2 linked regions of the Lonchura striata genome follow. The protein of the gene in region 2 interacts with the protein of the main gene of each other region in a pairwise test. Links are inferred from orthologs where the notes say so. Each region holds a gene or a part of one and is shown on either strand. Other genes may lie near its edges.

Evidence for each region.
Region 1: the proteins of PER2 (region 2) and CRY1 interact in a two-hybrid assay, tested with the Homo sapiens proteins (5 studies listed by BioGRID, with this or other methods). The link is inferred for Lonchura striata from reciprocal best matches to the Homo sapiens genes PER2 and CRY1.

Annotation. Positions count from the first base shown.
Region 1 is NC_134607.1:20,960,922-20,970,965, forward strand, and holds the start of CRY1 (cryptochrome-1), read left to right. Parts: upstream 1-6,030; 5' UTR 6,031-6,145; coding exon 6,146-6,303; intron 6,304-10,044.
Region 2 is NC_134612.1:2,126,036-2,136,475, reverse strand, and holds the start of PER2 (period circadian protein homolog 2), read right to left. Parts: upstream 4,463-10,440; 5' UTR 4,354-4,462; intron 4,142-4,353; exon of another isoform or gene 4,042-4,141; intron 1-4,041. UniProt on the Homo sapiens protein: Transcriptional repressor which forms a core component of the circadian clock.

The sequences.
Region 1 (10,044 bases), on a different chromosome or scaffold from region 2:
AAAACTAAACCTCTGCTCCACAGGAGTGACACAACTGCCTGTGTCTGAGCACTCTGAGTAGTTTTACTGAGTTTAGTGGGTCCGGTCAGAATAAGCAAATCTCTGAAGGATCAGGGTTTTCTTCATTAATGCTTCAGCTTAGGTAGAAGCAGCCAGCAAAGTGAAGTGTTGTTAAAATTGTTTGGGATGTCAAATAACATTTCCAAAGTACAAACTCGAAAAATAACCATGGCTTACTTTTACTTTAATGTGTAATCCTGCTGTTAAACAAAATTGCCTTGTGAGTAATGCAGTCCCTTAAAATACTGTCATTTTTACTATTATAGAAATTTTAAATTATTCTGATGTAGTAAATTGTGCTCTTCTAAAATCTGACATGGGAATGATTGTTTCATTCATGTAAAAGAAGCCTTAAATTTTCTAAAAATGCCTGGGATCACAGTAAATTTTTCCCTGTTGTTAGTGAGGATCATCAGAAACACAGAATACTGTAAAAGAAAGAAGTTTATTTGCCAAAACTCATTTGACAGGGGTACTCAGGATCCCTTGTAAAAATGCCCTATGCAAAAAATAACATGAATGAATTTGAACATTATGGCGTTCTATAGAAACCAAGAAGATCCGAGTTATGACTTGACAGATTTCCAAGTCCATAGATTACAGTATTCACATTTCAAGTATGTAACTGCTTTCAAGAATTCAGAGTTCTCTCTAAGCTCTTGTTGGATCTAATGTGCAGGACCCCACACAATTGTTGGATAATGTTCCAATGTGCAGGACCCCACTGTAACCTGTAACTTTTCACATACTTAGATTGCTGTGGGGATTGTAAAGCAATTGGGAGATTAAGGGAAAAAAGCCCAGCCAGCTCAGATAAGATGCTTGCTCTCACTGCCTGCAGCACCCTCTCACCACCAAGTGTTAGAACAGCAATAAGGAAGTGAGCTACTGTCAAAGTTACCTGTGATCCTGCTTGCTAGCACACTTGCAGAGACCTGAATATACACAGTAAAGGGGTGCTGTAAGTTTCAGTATTTAATGAGACTTCTATGTAAATCTTCTATAGGAAATAGATAAAGGGATCAATTGGTTGATTTATCCCTCATGTGAATTTCTGAATATGAATTTTTTAAGTATCGCTTTTTGAAAATTAGCAAACCCAAACTTTTACTCATGCTGGGTTGTTCACAAAATCTTTCAGTAAAGAGGGCAACCGTATGACTGCTGACCGCTACAATTCTCATAACAGGGAAACTTAGTAGGCTGTAAAGAATTAAATGAAACTACCGAATGCCTAGATTGAACTTTGAGTGAACCTAGAAGAGTAGGTATCTACCTAGAAGACAGCAGTGTAGACAGGGTTTGAATGGTTTGTGAAGAAATCTGGGGTGGTGAGAGGTTGCAGTTTTGTAGATTAATGCACAGTTAATGTTTACACTTATGCATTTACAAAAAATTAATCCCTGTTTTGATTAGTGGTGGAAATTAGGTAAATTATTATAAAATACATGCTAGACCAACATAAAGCTTTCTAGAAAAAAATGCAGAGGATCCTAGAGTAATCCAGTTTTGAAGGGATCTCAAGAGCTCAAAGTAGGGTCTCCAGGATCCAGGCTGCTTTTTTCAGTCAGGTCTTTAAAACCTCAGCGGATGGAGCCCATCCACCTCTGTGGGGTACCTGCTCCACTGCTCAACTTCCTCATGGGGGCAAAGCTTTTCCTTACATCCAGGAAAGAAAAGACATTTGAAAAGTTCTTAAGGACACGCCACACTATTTAAACCACTGGTCATTAAGTGGTGGTGCTTTCAGCACAGACAAAACGAGGGTCTCCGGCACAGCCTGCTCCCACAGCCCTGCCACCTGGGCCTCCCTTTCCCACCCTTTGGACTCCGCTTGGGGGCGGAGAGGCAGGAGGCGGGTGTTCTCCTGCAGCCAGCACGGGAGAAGCGGCTGCAGGCCCGGCTGCCGCTCCTGCCGCAGCCACCGGCGGCCGGCACGGGGGCCCGGGGCCGGGGGTCCCTCCCCGCCGCGCATCCCTCGGAGCAGCGCGGCTTCTCCCCTGCACGCCGCCCGCCCCGCATCCCTCGGAGCAGCGCGGCTTCTCCCCTGCACGCCGCCCGCCGCGCATCCCTCGGAGCAGCGCGGCCTCTCTCTCCCCTGCACGCCGCCCGCCCCGCATCCCTCGGAGCAGCGCGGCCTCTCTCTCCCCTGCACGCCGCCCGCCCACCCTCAGCGCCGGCGCTCGGAGCGGGACAAGCGGAACGCCAGCCGGCCCCTCCGGCCCCCGAGCCCCGCTGCCGCGGCCGCGCTCACCGTTCTCGCCGCCGCCGCGCCGGGAGCGCCGGCCCGTGCCAGCGCCGGCAGGGCGGGGCGCGCTGAGCCGCGGCGCGGGAGGACGTGGCCGAGCCGCAGCGCGACCCGGCCCAGCCTCCGCCGCTCGAGAAGCAGGCTTGGCCGGCAGTAGGAGAGTGAAAGGCCGTTGGATTAAAACAGCTTGCAGAGAGAAGTAGTGGGGTGAATAGGAAAGAAATGTTTTGATAGTAATTTCTCAGTAATATAATAGCAAAGGATGGAACATTTAAGTCAGATTACTCGAGTGCCTTTCCTCTGACAGGAAGCAGATGATCCTTTTGATTTAATAATGCCGATATCATGATGGGAGGCTTGCCTTACACCAGTGTATTTTCTTCATATGGCCACTACTTTATTACATAATTAAGTTCACATCTAGTCATTGGGCTTACATTGTTTTGCTGGTGGCTTTTCAGAAGTTCATTGAACTCTGATGGTGAGAACCATCTTCTTCTATCTTATTTTTTTAGCCATATCTACTTAACTTTCTCATCTAGAGTAACAAATTAGCAGTCACTTAAATTATTTCTAGACTAGAAATATTTTACTAGAGGTGTTGGGATTTTTTAACTAACTCCAAGTCTGCACAATCACATCTTCCAGAGAGTGAAAAATCACTACTGTTGTCTCCGTGAACCCTTCTTGTATCAGCTACACCTTCAGTAGTCTCTGTTGGGTCTGTAAAAAAAAGCTGATGAAGAAGAGAAATGCTATAGGAAGAAACTTCTGCTCTAGGAACAGGGTTCAGGGTTCAGGAACTTGGTCTCCTAAATAACAGCTGTTTCTAGAACAGTTAACAAAGTCCGTGAATATAATGCATATAGTAATGTTAAAAACATGCATCTAAAAAAATAGCTTCCAATTTGTAACACAAAAGGTACTGTACACTTGCTTTTTTGTTTTTTTTTTCACTTCATGCCTTCATGTTATCTTTTTCCCCTTCTGGGCTAAATTAGCAATATTGTTTAAAAAAATTAGTCACATGAGAACACTGTAGAGAGGTTTACTTTTGTGAGTTCCTTGATTAACTGTCGTTCTATTTTCTACTTCAGCTAAGTTAGAGTGGTTCTTCCCTTGAGATCTGACATTTTAATTAATATAGTCTGCATCTATTATATATTAATATATCCTAATACAATATTAATTATACATTAATATGTTCTTTCTCTCATTTCTGAGTCAGGAACAAACTGTCTCACATAGAAGGCATGGCCAGATAGAGCCAAAGAGTATTTTACATAATTATATGCTATTGATATACTGCAATTGTTATTCAGCCTGTAGCAACAAAGAGCTTAGAGACTGATGGTTTTCATGACTGCAATTTGTTTATGAAACCATAAGGTCTAGTGAGGAAGGGCTGTTTCCAGTATTCCCAAGAAGGCAGACTGGTTGATGCTGGACTTTATTTAGGGCTATCTTCAGTGTGGCAGCCTTGTGGGGAGCTAGCAGGACACTTAATGAGTATGAAAAGCAATTTAAATGTTTGAAATAAAAACTATGCTGTGAAGTGACTCTCCTTAAAAATAAGGAATCTACTTCTTCAGTGTTCAAAAATTATAGAATTCAAATGAGTTTGATGGACAGTGGTCATTAACTACTGAATTCCTTTTTGGTTTTTATTTATTTCAAAATCATTTACCAAATATTTGGCATATGATAATAAAAAAACACCAGACAAATAAGGATGTACTTTATATTAACTGGGAAAGCAGTGTTTGACTTTACAATGACCCCACTATGCCAGCTCTGAGTTGCAGCCAGGATATATGACAGGATCCCATATGTTCTTCTTGAATCAGAATTATGAACTGTGGAATATGGTATTCTACATACAACAAAGTGATAATTGAGAAACTCATCATAATTATGCTGTTGTTAAAGTCAGTGCTCAGAAACTGTTCACTCTCCACATGCTACACCTTTTAAAAAGAAATTTTGTGTAAGACCAAGCAGAAAGATTCTAATCCTGGCTGGGGCCTTGGCATACCTTGATTTTCAAGGACAGGTGGGGCCTTGTCTGCCAGGCAAGGTGTGACAGGACAAGAGGACAGAGCCTCAAGCTGCACAAGGGGAGGTTTAAATTGGACATCAGGAGGAATTTTTTCACTGACAGGGTTATTAACATTGGAATGAGCTGCCCAGGGAGGTGATGGAGTCACCATCCTTGGAGCTGTTCAAGAAACAACTGGACGTGTCCCTCAGTGCCATTGCCTAGCTGAGATGGTGGTGTCAGTCAAAAGTTGGCCTCAGAGTTCTTTTCCAACCTAAATGATTGTGTGATTCTATTACTGTGTTTATTAGGTCATTCAAAGTGAGGAAAGAAAAGCACAAAGGGAAACACACGATGCATGTGTCTATTCTTGTTGACTTTTACTTTCTGTGGGTCTTAGCAGAAAAAAATATTTTAGGAGAAGGAAAAAAATGACCGTTCTTAAAGAACTGTCTGGAATTCTCAAAGTTAAGAAAGGTCTGTACTGCTGATTTGGGTCCTCTGCCTTTTACTTGAGACATTCTTTCTAATGAGACCACTCCTGCTGTTGCTATGCACTTGTCCGTGACGCTGTAGATTTGAACTGCAATCCACAAGTGGAGGTTTAGTTTCAGATCTGCATCGAGAGCTGCCCTGTGAGTCCTGTGAGTGCGATGCCTCCGTCGGCTGTTGGCCGTGCGCACCGTAACCAAGGAGCCGGTCCGGGAACCCCGCTGTGCTGGCAGCACAGACGGTGGTTTGTTTGAGCTCTGTAATTAACAGTGAGAAATTCACCATTTAGTAATGACTTTCCTAACGGTGCCCTAAGAGAGACCATTTTAACTCGTTCAGCTGCTTGAAAGCCTGTCTGGGTGCGGCAGCGCCGCACGGCCCAGCCGCTTTCTCTTGCCCGGGGGTGCCTTTTGACCGACACGTCCCGGCGGCACCGGGCAGCAACGAGCCCTCGTCCCTCGTCACGGAACCGCCAGGGTGGGAAGGGCCCTCCGGGGCTCCGCTGGGCCAGCAGGCGCTCCCTGCGCACACGCTTATGTAAGCGCCCCGCCCGTGCGGCGGCACCGCCGGGCACGGCTCCGGGCGCGCGCGGGCCGCGATACATAACAGGCTCGGGGGCGCGCGCACGCCGGCGCCGCCCGGCGGAAGCGGCGCTGCCGAGAGCCGCCTCGCGGCCCCGTGCTCATCCGGGTCCCGCCGCGCCGAGCCGAGCCGAGCCGAGCCGCGGGGGGGGGGGGGGTGGCGGAGAGAGCCGGGCCCCGCCCCCCGCCGGCGCAGCCCGCCGGCCCCGCGCTGCCGCAGCGGGCGGGATTGCCGCCGGGGTGGCGGGCCCCCGGCCCGCCGCGGAAGCGGGGCCGCCCGGCCGGGCCTCCCTGCCCCGCGCGCCGCCGGTACCGAACACACCGCAGAAACGTGAGGGCCCGCGGTCACGTGGCCGCGGCGCCGGCCAATGGGCGGCGGGGGGCGGGGCGGAGCGGCCGGCGCAGCCCCGCGCAGTCACAGGGCGAGCGGCGAGGAGGCGGCGGCGGCACGGACGGCGCTTTCCGCGGCCAGGGCGCCGTCACCGCCCCGCAGTCACCGCCGGACCCAGCGCTCGCACCTTTCGTCCCCGCTCTCCCCGGCGCGGGGGCTCCGCGGGGTGATGCGTCCCCGGCGGGCGGCCGCTCCCGCCGTGTCCGCCGGGTCCTAGAGCCGTCCCAGCGAGGCCCCGCGGGCCGCCCCGCCGCCCGTCCGTGCTCGCCCGGCGGCGCCGGGCCATGAACGGCCCCGCGGGCGGCGGCGGTTCCCGCTGAGCGCCCGCACCCGGCATGGGGGTGAACGCCGTGCACTGGTTCCGCAAGGGGCTGCGGCTCCACGACAACCCGGCGCTGCGGGAATGCATCCAGGGCGCCGACACGGTGCGCTGCGTCTACATCCTGGACCCCTGGTTCGCCGGCTCCTCCAACGTGGGCATCAACAGGTGGCGGTGAGTGCGGGGCGCTGCGGGGCCCTAATGCCGCGTTATGTATTCGGTCACGCTGCCTCCCCGCCATCCCCTCCCCTCCGCGCCCGATTGGGCCGCCGCCAGCGCCGGCTTCCCGCGGCCGCTCGCCCGCCCCGCGGGCCGGCGGTGTTACATATCCAGCCCGGCGCCGGCCCGGGCTGCGGCGCACGTGGGAGGGACGGGGAAGACGGAACCGGGAAGCCCGCGGCGCAGTGCGGGGCGGTGGGCTGTGGCTTCCCGCTGAGGGGGGCGCTTGTTCTCGCTCCCGAGGGTGGCGGGTCAGTGCCCGAGCGCTGGAGCGCAGAGCGGGGTTGCTGCCGGGCGGAAAACCCTGTGGGGAGCAGCCCGGAGTGGGTTTGCGCCATTTCAGGAACTCTGGGCAGCCGGGAACCCCAGGGCGACACCGTCCTGGAGAAACTGTGAAGCTGCTCGCTTAGCCCAGAAGTACTTTTTCAAAGTAGCGTTCCTGCACGGAAGGGTATCACAAAATATCCTGAGTTGGAAGTGGCCCACGAGGATCGTGGAGTCCAACACCTGGCCCTGCATAGGACAGCCCCAAGAAACCCACCGTGTGCCTGAGAGCATTCTCTAAATGCTCCTTGAACTCGGGCTGGCTCGGTGTGCAGTGTCCCTTTCTGGAAAGTGCGGATTTATTCCTACACCATCAAGCCAGTTGTAATTTTCCTACCCGATATAAAAATGAACTTTACTATGGTGCTGTGACTGACGCTTGCATGCTAAATGTGTACCATAAGGCAGAGGTTAATAGGACTTCTGTGCATGCTTGTCATGTGAGATTAGTTAAAAAATCACTAGGAATCTGAAAATTGTTACCCTTGTAAAATGCTTGATAATGCAGTAAGGTCTGTGTATCATCTGTCCCTCCAATGTCAGGAACTTGAAATGCTAGTGAACTTAGCCTGCCCAGACTACAATGCTGAATAGTTGCCTAATTATGGAACAAGCACAATGAAACTTAACACCACATCATAGACGAATGACAAAGTTTAGAAACTTCAGGTTTCAATTGTGTTTACTTGAGGGATTGTTCCTTTCAGATTTAATAATTTGTATCCTAGCTTATACTTTACCAGCCAGGTAACTTACCTTTGGAGGTTTTGAGTTTCTGGTTTTTTTTCAGATTTTGAGAGGTTTTCCTTACAATGTTCTTGTTTTCAAGAGATGAAAATACTAAAGATGCTTTTTGTAGACTTTAACTTGATGATTATTTCATTCGCACTGACAAAAATAACTTGGGAATAACTGTTAGATACTTCCCTTATCTGAGATTCATCATGTACATTTATTTTATAAGAGACTTAACTCACTTTTGTTTTGAAGGGATAAGGTTTTTTTAATAACATTTTGACTTACTGAAGAGCCTCAGAGGTATTAATTTTGTGGGTGAAACATGAACAGCCACTGAATTTTGTGGGTGAAACATGAACAGCCATTGAAGTTTTAAAAGAATGTGGACAACTGGTACAAGTCTTAAGTGTTAAGGAAATCACATGTCTTAAGAATACTTCATAGGTCTCTAATGTGCCCTGCAGTTGAAATGCTGAACAGTTTTTGGTTGTACTCTCTGAGCTAGTGAATGATAGACAAATGTGAACTTTGGTTCTAGCAGAAGGAAGTTCATGTCTTCAGTGCTATTGCCCTGGATCTTCAGTGACTGTGTAATATTATCATTAGGTAATAGAGTCCTTGAGTTCATCTGTGTGTGATGTATTGCTGGTTGGTTTACTCAAACAGTGTTTTAATCTTTAAGAAGGCAGGTAGTCCTCCCACTACATTTTGCATTTGAAGAAAAATGCCTGGTTTTTGTTGCTGGTTAGAGGGACTGAATTTGGGGTAGATTACAACTCCCCTGTCCAAAGCACATCGAGCAATCTCCTGGTACTCAAATACCGCCAAGGGACATGCTGCACATGGATTTGAGTAGGAAATGTTGCTGCCTTCAGAGCCTGGTTTCATGAAATCGTCAGGTTTTTTTCAAGTTTAAAAGTACAATAGCTTTATAGAATAACTGACTTCTAAAACTGTATGTTTATTAAGTTGCTTCTCAGTCAGTTTTTATTTAAATGAACAGTTACTGGTTTGGGATGAATCCTCGTTAGGTTCCAGTGATTTTAATGAGATGCTTTTAACCAGTGCTGACACATACATTCCCAGTAAGTATACACAAAATCTATGATGCAATTTTTTAGTTTCCCAGTCTTATTTGGCACTTATAATTAATGGAAAAACATTTAATGTTCTTTTTCACTTGATCACTGTGAGCAAAATCCTTGCTTGCGTGCCTGTTGAGTAGGGTGTTGTAGTGAGAAACATTTTATTTGAGACTAGGAGCAGAAGCCCTTCAGCAGTAGGAAGGTGAGTCAAATTTAACCTCCTGGTGTGAATTTACAGTGGTCCTTTCTTAATTTGAGTTGATTGACACCAAGTGTTTGTTGTCCTACTGCCCTGGGCAAAACTCTTCTCTGTCAAACTATGACTAATGCAATCTACATGAGGAAAAATGGTGAAAGAATACAAGAAACCAGGAGGTTCAGCTTCTTGTTAGAATATTGTCATTGTCATTCTGCAGGGTCACCAGTTATGGTTTATATTAACAAATGTGTGTTAAATATAACACACAATAGGTTGCTGGTAAATAGCAATCTTTAACACATAGGTGCTTTCTAATTAACTTTTCTCTTTAAACAGTCATGTAACAATCAGGGAGTAATATTTTTGTGTAATTGCACTATTGAGTAAGTCTAATTACTAAGCAGTCACATGGTCTTACTGACCTCCTTTCTCCTGGCATTCAGCCTACCTGTTCTAAATTAGTGAATGCTACGTAACAAATGCCAGGACCTCCCTCAGTTCACTTCTTCTTTTTTTTTTTTTTTTTTTCTGGGTCTGTTCAGTTTCTCCTTATTGTTCCTTTTTTTCGAGCTGTCAAATAAATCAAGATGTGCTTTCATTGAAACATGTTTTTTCTATGGGATGTGTTCATAATGTTGTCCACAGATCAACACTTGGAGAGAGAAGTTACTTGGTGCAGTAAAAGGTGTAGAAATAAATGGTGGAGGGAGATGCCAAATTGCACTAAGGCTCTCTTAAAATTTTGTCGGTTGCCCTTAAATGTTAGGCGTCAGAATTAGCTTGTATCTAAATTGTGTCAACAAAGCAGGCAAAGAATGTAACTTGCATACTCCAACAAGTAACCATTACCTACTTCTGAAAAAATGTGTTCGTATGTGCTCACAGACTTTTCCATATTAAGGAGAATGGGATTTCATGCTTTACAACATCACCTAGGGGAGAGCTTCACTGGTTTTAGTGCAGAGTGACAATTGATCACAATACCTGAAAAGAAATGGAAACATTGTTAGTTGCTGCATAAGGATTTACTTTAGGTAATAATTTACCTCTTCTGAATTGTCTTTTTTGGGTATATATGTCTGTCTTTGATATGCTAGTTAAAACACTTTTTTAACCATTGATGAAGAGAATGGATTTTACTTTTAAAATAGGAGTAATTGAATTTGCTTTGTATATCTCTTAGATTTTGTGAGAATATTGATGTGTTCAACATTCTTCAAAGTTAGCTGCTGCTATTATTGCAGATAGTGGTATTGGCTTTGGAGAGAGGAGAGAGATGATTTATTTTTCCACACTCAAATTTCAAGCAAATAAAAAAACCTGAGAGGAAAAAAAAAGTTTCATTTCCAG
Region 2 (10,440 bases):
ATAAGCAGGGAAAAAGTGCACTTCAGAACCACTGCCTGGGCAGATCACAAGAAACTCGGTGTATTGCTGCCGTCCCTTGGTAACTCCTCGGGAGGGACAGAGAACCAAGTAAGAGGATCCCGTGGTGGTGCAAACCCAGCGCAGCCATTCAGACCAAGATCCCATCTACACCTGAAGGTCGCCCAGCAATGCAAAGCACAGGCCCGGAGCCTGCCCATGCCGCAGCAGCGCTGGCAGGAGGGCGCCACAGGCTGCAGGGGCGTGCCCGGTGATGTGCTAAGCCGCTCAGCCGCGCAGCAATCCCGGCACGGACAGCCCGGCATGCGCGCTCCCATGTGTTCGGTGCCTGCCTACTACACACGGCTGCTGGCTCCCGGCAGAGTCACTGCAGAGATCTCCACTCGCTTCACAGACACTCAAAGCATCCCACTCTTCCTCATTCTGGTCGTCTCTGCCACACTATTTCACAAAAGGAGCTTGGGGCTGCAAGAAATCCCAGCAAGAGATGGCAAAACTATCACCCTCTGAACTGTGCTTTTGACTGCCACCTTCTCTTTTCCCATGTCCTTTAAACATACTTCACAGAAAGAAGTCTAAAAAGAAACACCCTCATCCCCTCACAACCAAAGCTCTAAGTGTCAGAAGGCAGAGCCCTACAAGCAAAGGGAATGTAACTTTTAAAAAGTCAGTTCTACTTAAGAAAAGCCTTCTGCACTAACAACAACCAGTAATATTGCAGCCTGACCCCACAGCAGGGTTTAAGTTTAAGGAAGCAGTTAAAGCAGGAAAGCAGACAGACACTTTCTACACAGGACACAAAACAGCAGCAGCATTACTTTCAAACCAACGCTTTCTGCATCCAACTTCATCCATAACCAAAAGAACAAGTAAAAGCCCTTTTGAGTAGCACAACAGTATCACAAAGAATAATACTGGTATTAATTTACTCTGTTGCTGTTCAGTGCTTAACAAGCTAAGTTAACATAATGAATATTTAAGCAGTTTAAAACTTGCACTACAGGGATGTAACTGAATGTGGAAAGTATGAATGAAGTAAGATAATCCAGTTAAAAATCTCAATAATCCTCCATCCTTACAGAGGAATTCTAGGCCATGCAATCAAAACTGGAGACAAAAACTCCTTCTCAGAAACACCTGATTATCTAATAATTATAATGTGGTAATGTTATGAGTATAATACAGTGTCTACAGGACACTCATGCCAGCTATTACACAAGGCCTTACTAAGAACATGACGTTCCTTTTAACATAGGCCAGCCATAGCAACCCAATGGAAAACACTGCAGTTGATCTAGACTAATGATAATTTACTCGTTCTACTGGCTACTGGTAATCTTCTTGCTTTTAAACCGTAACAAATATACCTCATCCCATGGTAACTTGTTCATTTCCTTATTCTTTCAGAGGTGATTTTTTTTTTAATGCAATAAAAGTTTTTTTTTTTTAATGCAGTAAAGCATATTCTAATACTGTAAAGATGTTAGAGAAATAAGGGTGAGGCAAGAACCCAGGAAAAAGAAAACTGTTTATCAGTCTGTATCTAAGCCAAACACTTCCTGGTCATAATAAATGTCTGAAGTAGAAGAAACATCCAGAACTCTACTGCCAATCACTTTCCCCACTTCACTCTATTCTCATACTTTGAGACTAAACTCCATCAATATCTCCATTTACTAAAAAAGTTTATTACTGTAAGAGCATATTGTTCAAGGAGAGGTTCGAGGAAGTTTATCAAGTAAGCTGTGTTGTTAGACACTTTACAGTCAAATGACTGGAGGAAGAGAAAGCAGAGAAGGTATTATGACAAGAATATGCTGGCTCTTCAATGCCTCTATGTGGAAATCTAAAATGAATAACAGAAAATTGTAAAAATGAGGATTACTTAGATTTTCACCGACAGAATTTGTTTGCTAAAATGAATATAGAAAGTCTATAACAAGTCCCACCAACGGACAAATAAAAAAAAATTCCAGCAAAACCATGCAGTCTTTGAATTATAAACAAAATAAAAAAAACTTGCCAAATATGAAGAAGTGCATAAAAGAAAAAAAACTATTTCTATGTCTTTTCCTTCTGAACTACATCAAGCCAAACCAACAAAGGATAGACTATCCTCTTTCACTGTAGTGAAAGACACACATTTATGACACCCAACTAAAGTATCTTCTTTCTGCCTTGAAATACACACTTGAAATGGCCAAAACCTGAAGGTTTTGGTTTACTTTTCTTCTTCTACTCCAGGCCAAAGGCCATCTCTTTTCCTCTGTGTGTTACTAGTGAGGTGAGCAACCTCCACAGTTCAGAATCAGGACTCCACACCTCAGGACAGTGTTGTCATCTTCTCAAGACTAACATCTAGCTTTACATGGAGCAAGGACACAGTCCAGTCCTTCAGTGAAACTTCCCCACTTTGCAGAAATCATGCAAGTTTCAAAGACAAAGGTAAAACAGAAAGAACATAAAAGCACTCAAACCTGTACAAGCATAAGCAAGAAGGAACTTGATGTTACAGTGCAACAATGTGGGCACTCTCCCTAACACAAATCAAACTGTGGCTGAAACAATACTGGCAACTTGGAATGTTTTCTCACCATACTAATCAGGTTTTTACTCTACTTCTGACTTGATATATACTCTTACCACTAGAATCACTAGATAATTTCCACTTCTTTCCCTTTACTTGTGATAACTATTCAATCTCAGATATCCAAGACAATAAATCTCAAAGTCTTGCATTTGGAAAAGAAAGACATGAGCTTATAAGGAAGATGGAGAAAGACTTCTTATCAGGGCATGTGGTGACAGGATGAAAGACAGTGGTTTGAAACTGCAAGAGGGTAGATTTAGATTGGACATATGGACAAAACAGTTGGACTTAAGGATCTCAGAGGTCTTTACAATTCTTAATGATTCTGTTTCTTTGATCTGAATCAGTGCACAGTCTCAGCCAAGTTACTTTTTCACTGGAATACACTTGTGAGGCACGGTAGTTTCCCAAGTACCTGGGACCTCATACCAACCTCCTGTGAGGCCTTTTTAAGCTCCTATGGTACACAGAGAAATGCTGTCCCTTTATTAAATACTTACCCTATTACGAAAAGTCAAATGTAAAGCGTCAGCTTGACTGCTGCCACGCTGCTCACCAATTTGCATGAAACTGTACTTACATAAAGGGTTTTGTAATCATGCATGTAATACTATGCACTAATGTGAACAGCAGCACAACCACACGTCTCAAGGAACAGAGTGTCTTACAGGTACATGCAACACAAGAAACAAATGGACAGCACCTGTTGCCTGCTCTACCTGTAGCTCACACATCTCGGCAGCGCTGAGATCGGTTCCTCGCTGCCTGACAGCTCCTCCCGCGGAGCAGCCCGCCCGGCCGGCGGGAGCCGGCTCGGTCCCCCCGCACTGCCGCCCCGGGGTCCGCGCGCTCCCCGCCGGTTCCCCCGCTCCGCGCCCCTCGCACGGACGTGGCCGCAGCCCGCGGCCGGCAGGGACGGCGGAGCGGAGCCCGCCGGGGACCGGGTCCGGCCCCGCCGCCTCCTCCCCCGCTCCGGGCCGGGGCCAGCGCCGCCCCCCGGAGAGCCCGGTGCCGCCCCGGCCCCGCGGTGCCCCCGCTCCCGGACGGGCGGGGGCCGTGCCGCACTCTGCCCCGCACCCCGCCCCGGGAAGCGACTCACGGCCGGCCGCCGCTTCCCTCGCTGCGGTTTCACGGGGAGCGGGGGGGGCGTGTCACAGCCGCCGTTCTGAGGGAGCCCCGAGTGCCCCCTCCCCGGCGGGCCGGGGCCGGCAGCGGGACGGACCCCGGGGAACGGGAGCGCCCCGCGCGCGCAGCGTCCCAGCAACGGGAGAGCCCCGGCGCGCGGGTTACGTAACCTCGGCCCGGCGGGCGGAGGAGGCGGGGGAACCCCCGTGCCCCCCGCGACCGCCGCTCGCCGCCCCCTCCCGCCGCTCCCCGCGGGTTCCCCGGCCCCTTCGGGCGGCGCGGAGCGCGCCCGGCGGGCCCCCACTCACCGCGCGCGGCGCGTCCCGCCGGCCCGGCGCGTCCCGGCTCGGGCTTCATACGGGCAGAAACGTGACCGGCCGCCGCGCGCCCGCCCCGCCCGCGCGCCCATTGGCCGCGGCCGCCTGACGCCAGCGGGACGCGCGGGCGGGGGCGGGGCGCGCGCCGCTGCCATTGGCCGCGCGGGCCGCCGCTCACTTTACATAAGCCTCACGTGTGGCACCATGTTTCCACCGACAGCCGCGGCCGCCTCCCGAGCCTTCCCCGCCGCCGGCCCGCCCCTCCCCTCCCCCGCGCCGCCGCCACCACCGGGGCGCACTCACCGCCGGCCCCTTCGCCGCCTCCCGCCGAAGCCGCGGTAGCTCCGTTCGCCTCCGCCCGCGCCCGCCGCTACGGGACCGCCGGGCCGGGGAGGATGGATTGGGGGCCGGTGGTCACGTGACGCCCCCGGGGAGCGCGGCTCCGCCCCCGCCCGCTCGGAGCCGCGCGTGACGTGTCGCGCGCGCGCGCGGGCGGAGACCGTTGGCGGCCGAGCCCGGAGCGGGCCCGCCCTGAGGGCGGCGGGGCGGCCTGGGGGGTCACCCTGAGGGGTCACCCTGCCGGGGTCACCCTGCCGGGGTCACCCTGAGGGGTCACTCCGAGGGGGTCACCCTGAGGGCTCACCCTGAGGGCTCACCCTGCCGGGCTCAGCCCGCGGGGCTCACCCTGCCGGCGCTTGCTTCGCTTACATAAGGCAGCAGCGCCCGTATCCCGTTTCCCGGTGCTGCCGCCCGCGCTGGGTGCACGCCCTGAGGTTTCCAAAGTGCCCCCGCGTATTGTTCAGGCTGCGCCGGGTCACAAAGCAAAGGGCAGCGCAGCAGAGCGTAGGGCTGCAGCTTTCTCCCGGACCGGCCGGCAGCATCAGTCTGAACAGCTACAACCATGATTGATCTAAGAATTTCCGAGCTCTTAAATGTATGTACTGTTCTCGGCAACAGTATTTCTGCATGGTGACACGTTACCATACAATGGCTTTCCATTCCAACTGTTTAAAGAATTGTGTTTAAAAACTTCTCTGTTTAAAGAAGTTTTTCAGCTTTTGTTGAATCAAAACTTTCAGAGACCATTGACACTTCCCATTTTACAGTAATAAAGAATTTAATGAATTCTTATACATCAGTCACACAGGTTTGCGCTCAGGCCCCTGCACCATCCATCCAACACTGGTGCGAGAACCTGAGTAGTTCAGTGAGATAACCCAATAATCCTCTGCTGAACACCTCGGCCCTGCTCCAGTCTCCACATCTCCCAAGGCTAAGCAGAGCAATCGGTAAGTGAGAAATTCATGTTACTTTATGTGTATTCTGAGTTTCCTCTGTCTCCGCTGTAGTAGATGACTTTGCAAAGAAGGAGCAGAGAATGTGCCAAAGCCACATTCGGGCTGACAGCGTTTTACACTCACTGCATGTATGCAGTTGCTCCATAGGATGAAACACCGGACAACCATCAGGGCTTCTACTGTTTATCTGCAAAATGAGGTTAATGCCACTTCCCTTCCTCACTGCAGTGTTAAGGATAAGTCCATTAGATACACAGGTATTTATGCTCTGACTGTTACAGAAACAGCCTGTGAGTAAAGGACTGTGCAGTATTTAACTGCTGGAGAGGAGAGGGGGTGGGCAGCGGAAGCATTAGAACCAGATTCTGCAACTGGATTTGTTGCAACGCACAAGTCAGCTTACCAGGATACCATTCTTAGTTTGCGCTCCTCTGAGGAGTCTAATTTTAAGATTAATCCTAATTAGGCAGTCTTTATGTAGTTTGGTCAACTTGTTGTTGGTAGGTCTTCACATCCAGAATTTCATTGTCTTTTTGTCAGTTCTCTGCTTTAGGATTAAAGGGATGTAGAATAATATTCTTGGTTTCCATGGGATGTTGTTTTTCGTGTTACATGCCAAAAATACCCATCCCTCTCTGTGTGCTGAGGGCTTTAGTCTTTTAGCACAGACTCCAACTAAGGCACTTCAACCAAAGCGAAACCTTGAGATCCACACTGTCCCACACCCCATCAGATCACAAATACGAGAAGGATGGCAAACCATGGCACTGTGTTAGAGCTAAATGAGTTCCCAGGACACACATTCCCCATTGCAGCAGGACATGCCAGTCCTGGCAGAAGAGTAACCCCCACCACCACAAATAGCCAGTACCTTTCCCACCCCGGTAACTACCAGAGGCATTACTTGAGTTCTGCTTATTTTAAAGGGATACTAATCAGCTGTTTCAGTCACACTTATGGGAATGATTTTTAAGTTCTGTTCATACCACCTTTTAGTAGTTACAGCTTTATATTTAATGTAGCAAAAAACATGGTAAGCTGTGTTACTCAAAATGTGAATTTGAGTTCAGTCCAAATTCTGCAACTTCCAGAAAATTGGCACAAGATAAATCATGTGTGCAGATACAAATTATTCCAGGCATCTCCAATTTGAAATGAGTGCGTGCACATGGCTTCTGAAGGAGTGAATATTGCTATTGACTCATCTACTATGGAACAGAGCAAAATAAAGTTATTGCAAAATTTTATGGGTTCTACACGTTTGTTTTTAAGGTCACTTTGTCTGGTAGGCAGGAGTAAAATACATATATGCACACACAAATGGTTCTAAAGAACACAAAGCTTGTAAGAAAAGCATTAAAATGCTGGTGTTTTTTTTCCCCAGCTTTGTTTATTTTGTGTGCGTGTGTGTTCAGCTGTAACTCCTGGAGCATGGCAGTACAAATGTGTGTGTGTGTGCACCAGGTCCCCGCTGGCACTGCCCCAGCTGGCTCTGCCCGGCGCGCTGGGGCGCAGCTTCCAGCGCTGCCCGGCTCCCTCCTGCGGCCCCGCGGGAAAATGCCGCTCCTTGGGGGTTTTCTGTGCAATCCCGCTGCTTCCCGCACTTACATCAGTAGTTTTTTAGGCACACACGCAAATGCCGAACCTTTTCCCAGCATATATAAAAAGTAGAATTTTTGCTTAACTGAAGCAATTCAGTCTGATAAGCAGCAACTTATTGACAGTATCTACATTTTTAAAGGGGGAAAAAATCCAAGTCTTTCAATATCGAAAAATAATAGTTTGAGACCACCTGAAAAACTACCTGAGGACTGCTTGCTTGGATTTGCTAAGGAAATAAGACTCCTTTTTGAAAAACTGTGCTTCCCTATCCACTTGTAGAAGTCGCCTGTTCAAAGATACTCCACAGCACTGACGGAACTGTGTATTATTAAAAAAAAAAAAACAATCAATACTTTACAGCTGGAACCCACGTCTAATTCTTCATTTCCTAGTCTTAATTACTCACCATTTACACTGACGCTGACAGTCATTGATTCTTGCAAAGATCCGGAAAGGCTTTTTTTGCTAATGAGCAAAAGTCGTCACTCTTACTCTCTGTGCAGACAAAGGAGGAGGAAAGGAAAAAACCCATTTTATTCATTACCAGTAAATATATGGACAGGTTTTTCTAAAAGCATTGCAGGTGTAGGAATCAACTGCAACAAATAGACAGAAATATCATACAGTTTTGAAAATGCTTTCATTAAATGTAAAGGAATGTAAAAAACATTATAAAGAACTTCAACTCAAGCAGCAAGTTCCTGAAATATGCTGCAGTTCAGAATTCCTTTGCACAAGTGTCTGCTTGTCACCAGACAGAAAACCTTTGCTAACAACTTCTGGGGAGAGCAGGTTTTCATTCTGTCCCTATTTTTACTGTTTTCTTGCTATTCTTATTAAATTCAGTTTCTCTTGGCAAATGCAGTGTAATTTTATGTTCCAAATATCTTGAAAAATGACACATGAAGGAGCCCTGAATTCTTCTTTTAGAAGGATACAAATGGAAGGGGTGTATCTCCCCCCACTATACCTCTATGTGCTTATCCACAAGCCCATGAGCATGATTTTAGTCCAGGTCTGAGATCCTGCTGTTTAGTGTGTATTAGCAACTCATTTTCTGCAGTCAGCCACTCAGAAAGCTGAATGAAGAGAACTTGACATTGAATTCACTGTGCTGAATAGGGGTTTAAAGCTTCCTGCATAACTCAGAGAGTGATAGTTTGTGATTTCATGATCTGCCTAAGGTGATCAAAGTCCTTAAACATCCACCAAGAGGAACAGTCCTACCACCTCCACTGAGTTAAAAATCAGTGATTATGCAATTGTACTGGTACTTAGATTAGGAAACCGACTTGACTGAAAATATCCCATGAAAGAAGTTTTTGGTTTGATTACATCACAGCTGTGAGAGCACAAAAGCCAAACCAAAACGGGATCAAAGAACATATTTTGAGCTGGAGTGAGGATCCAAGACCAAGAAGAACACCAAATTATAGAGTTAGGCACTTAAAATGAAATTTGCATGTCATTAGATTAGCATAAGAGAGTTAATAAGAGATGCCAGGCAGGAAAGTGCATCCTCAATCCTGCCTACTGTGTTGGATTTAGACATCCTCTTCTGCCCTGAAAGAAAGTGATTACGTCAGGTTGGGCTTCACCATTCAAAAGCATCCAGACACTTATGCCAAAGACAGCTTTCACAGCATTTATGAGCTGATCTAGCATTTCACTTCCATCAAGGGGTTGGCACCACTGCCACCAAGTACTCATGGCTACGTGGTCTTGACTGTTCCTTTTCCCACTCTGCTGCTTCCTTGGGACCTCAGCAAGCCAGTTCCACTGTTAATCTCCCAGAAAGCTCCTTGGGTTTGTTTCCTGCCTGTAAGCTGCTGAATATTCCTTGGTGAGAAAGCACATTCCCAAGTCCAGATATGCCATGGATAGGGCATTGAAAAGCTCTTTTAATGGCAGTGAGACTTTCCACAGCTTTTGATACCAGATGCTCATACCTTTCTGGATTAAATGTGCCCGTATTTAGAAGGTGTTCTTGAGACATCCAAATTCTTCAACAGACATCTGAGCATCCAGGCCTAGGACATGGTTCTGTACCTGTACCACTGTGTATTACAACCCTTGCCTCCCCACTGGTTCCTAATGCACACGCTTTGCAGTGATTTAAACTCTGTATTTGCTGACCAGACTCAGTTTACTGCCCCCCATCTCATTTATGCGCTGCTTTCAGGCTCACGGCTGCAGAGTGAAATGTTACCAATCTCTTAGAGAAATTCAGTGAGAGACATACCTTCCTTTACAGAGTAAGGGTAGAGAGAAAACATCTGGGTACAGACTTCCCCACCAGTGAGCATTTATACAATTTTTATTAAATAATCATTACATAAAGTGTTGGATTAGGTCTTGGCATGGGATTGGAGCTGGACTTGTTCACAGGTAAACTGACAATCATTGTCCAAGGTAGTCGTGCTGCTGCTCTCAGCTACTTGGAATCAAGGCACCTTTCCTCCTTGCTTTGTTTTCATTCTGAACAAATATGATAACATTAACAGACTATAACAGAAACATTTGCAAGAAACTGGATGCTAAATGGCGAACTAACCAGAAAGGTGCAGCACACCGACTGCCCTCCCTGTCACAGTCACAGGCCTGACCCCAGCCAGACATTCAGCCATTCCTTCCACAACAGTACTAATTATAGACCGGTGATTTGTACTTGTTTAGGAAGGAAGAGCCAAATTTTAAATGGGAAAGAGTGTCTTTCTGTATAATTCTGGAGAGTGTTTCTTAATTAAAAACACTTCATTTTCAGATTGGATTTCCCATTACTCCTCTGTGTCAATTAATTTTCCGGCTTTCGTTCACACTTGAGCTGTTTTGAACTGCTCGCTGCTGCTACTGAAGTCAGCGGAAGCTTGCGTTTGTTTTCAGGAGAGGGTGTTTAGTGACTGCCTGAGTTTGCTTCAGGAAGAAAACCCGATGTACCTGGCCACACTACTGGAAACAAAGCAGGGATTTTAATAATCAGGCATTGCAAAAGTGCCTTGTACTAAGCCAATTAGAGAGACTTCAGTAAACAAAGTTTTACAGATGCTATCAATAAACAGAAGTTTCTGATAAGCAATCAGAAATTCTGTTGGTTTAATTCTAATCAATTAGAAAGAAAAGACAAAGGACAGCTCACTTTGCACATGTCATTGAAATATAGAAGCAGGGGGTGAAGGGTTGATACAAAGTGTGTTTTGATAAATCCCTTTGATATAAACAACTTTGGCAACTTGCTCAAGAGAGTAACTAAACCAAAGATATCTGAAATCTGTCCCATCTTTGTGGATTATCTTGTATTAAATTGGTATATGCTTAACTATAGCCTTTTACTAAGTGCAGCTCAAGGGAGAAAATCCTCAACTACCTCATTTCCTGGGTGTAAAATATCTTGAAAATAATTTGTCTGAAATATCCTTGGGATTTCTTCCTATTTGGCAGTAGCCAATTTAAAGTTTACCATCTGAATGGAGAGAAGCAGACATCCAGACAA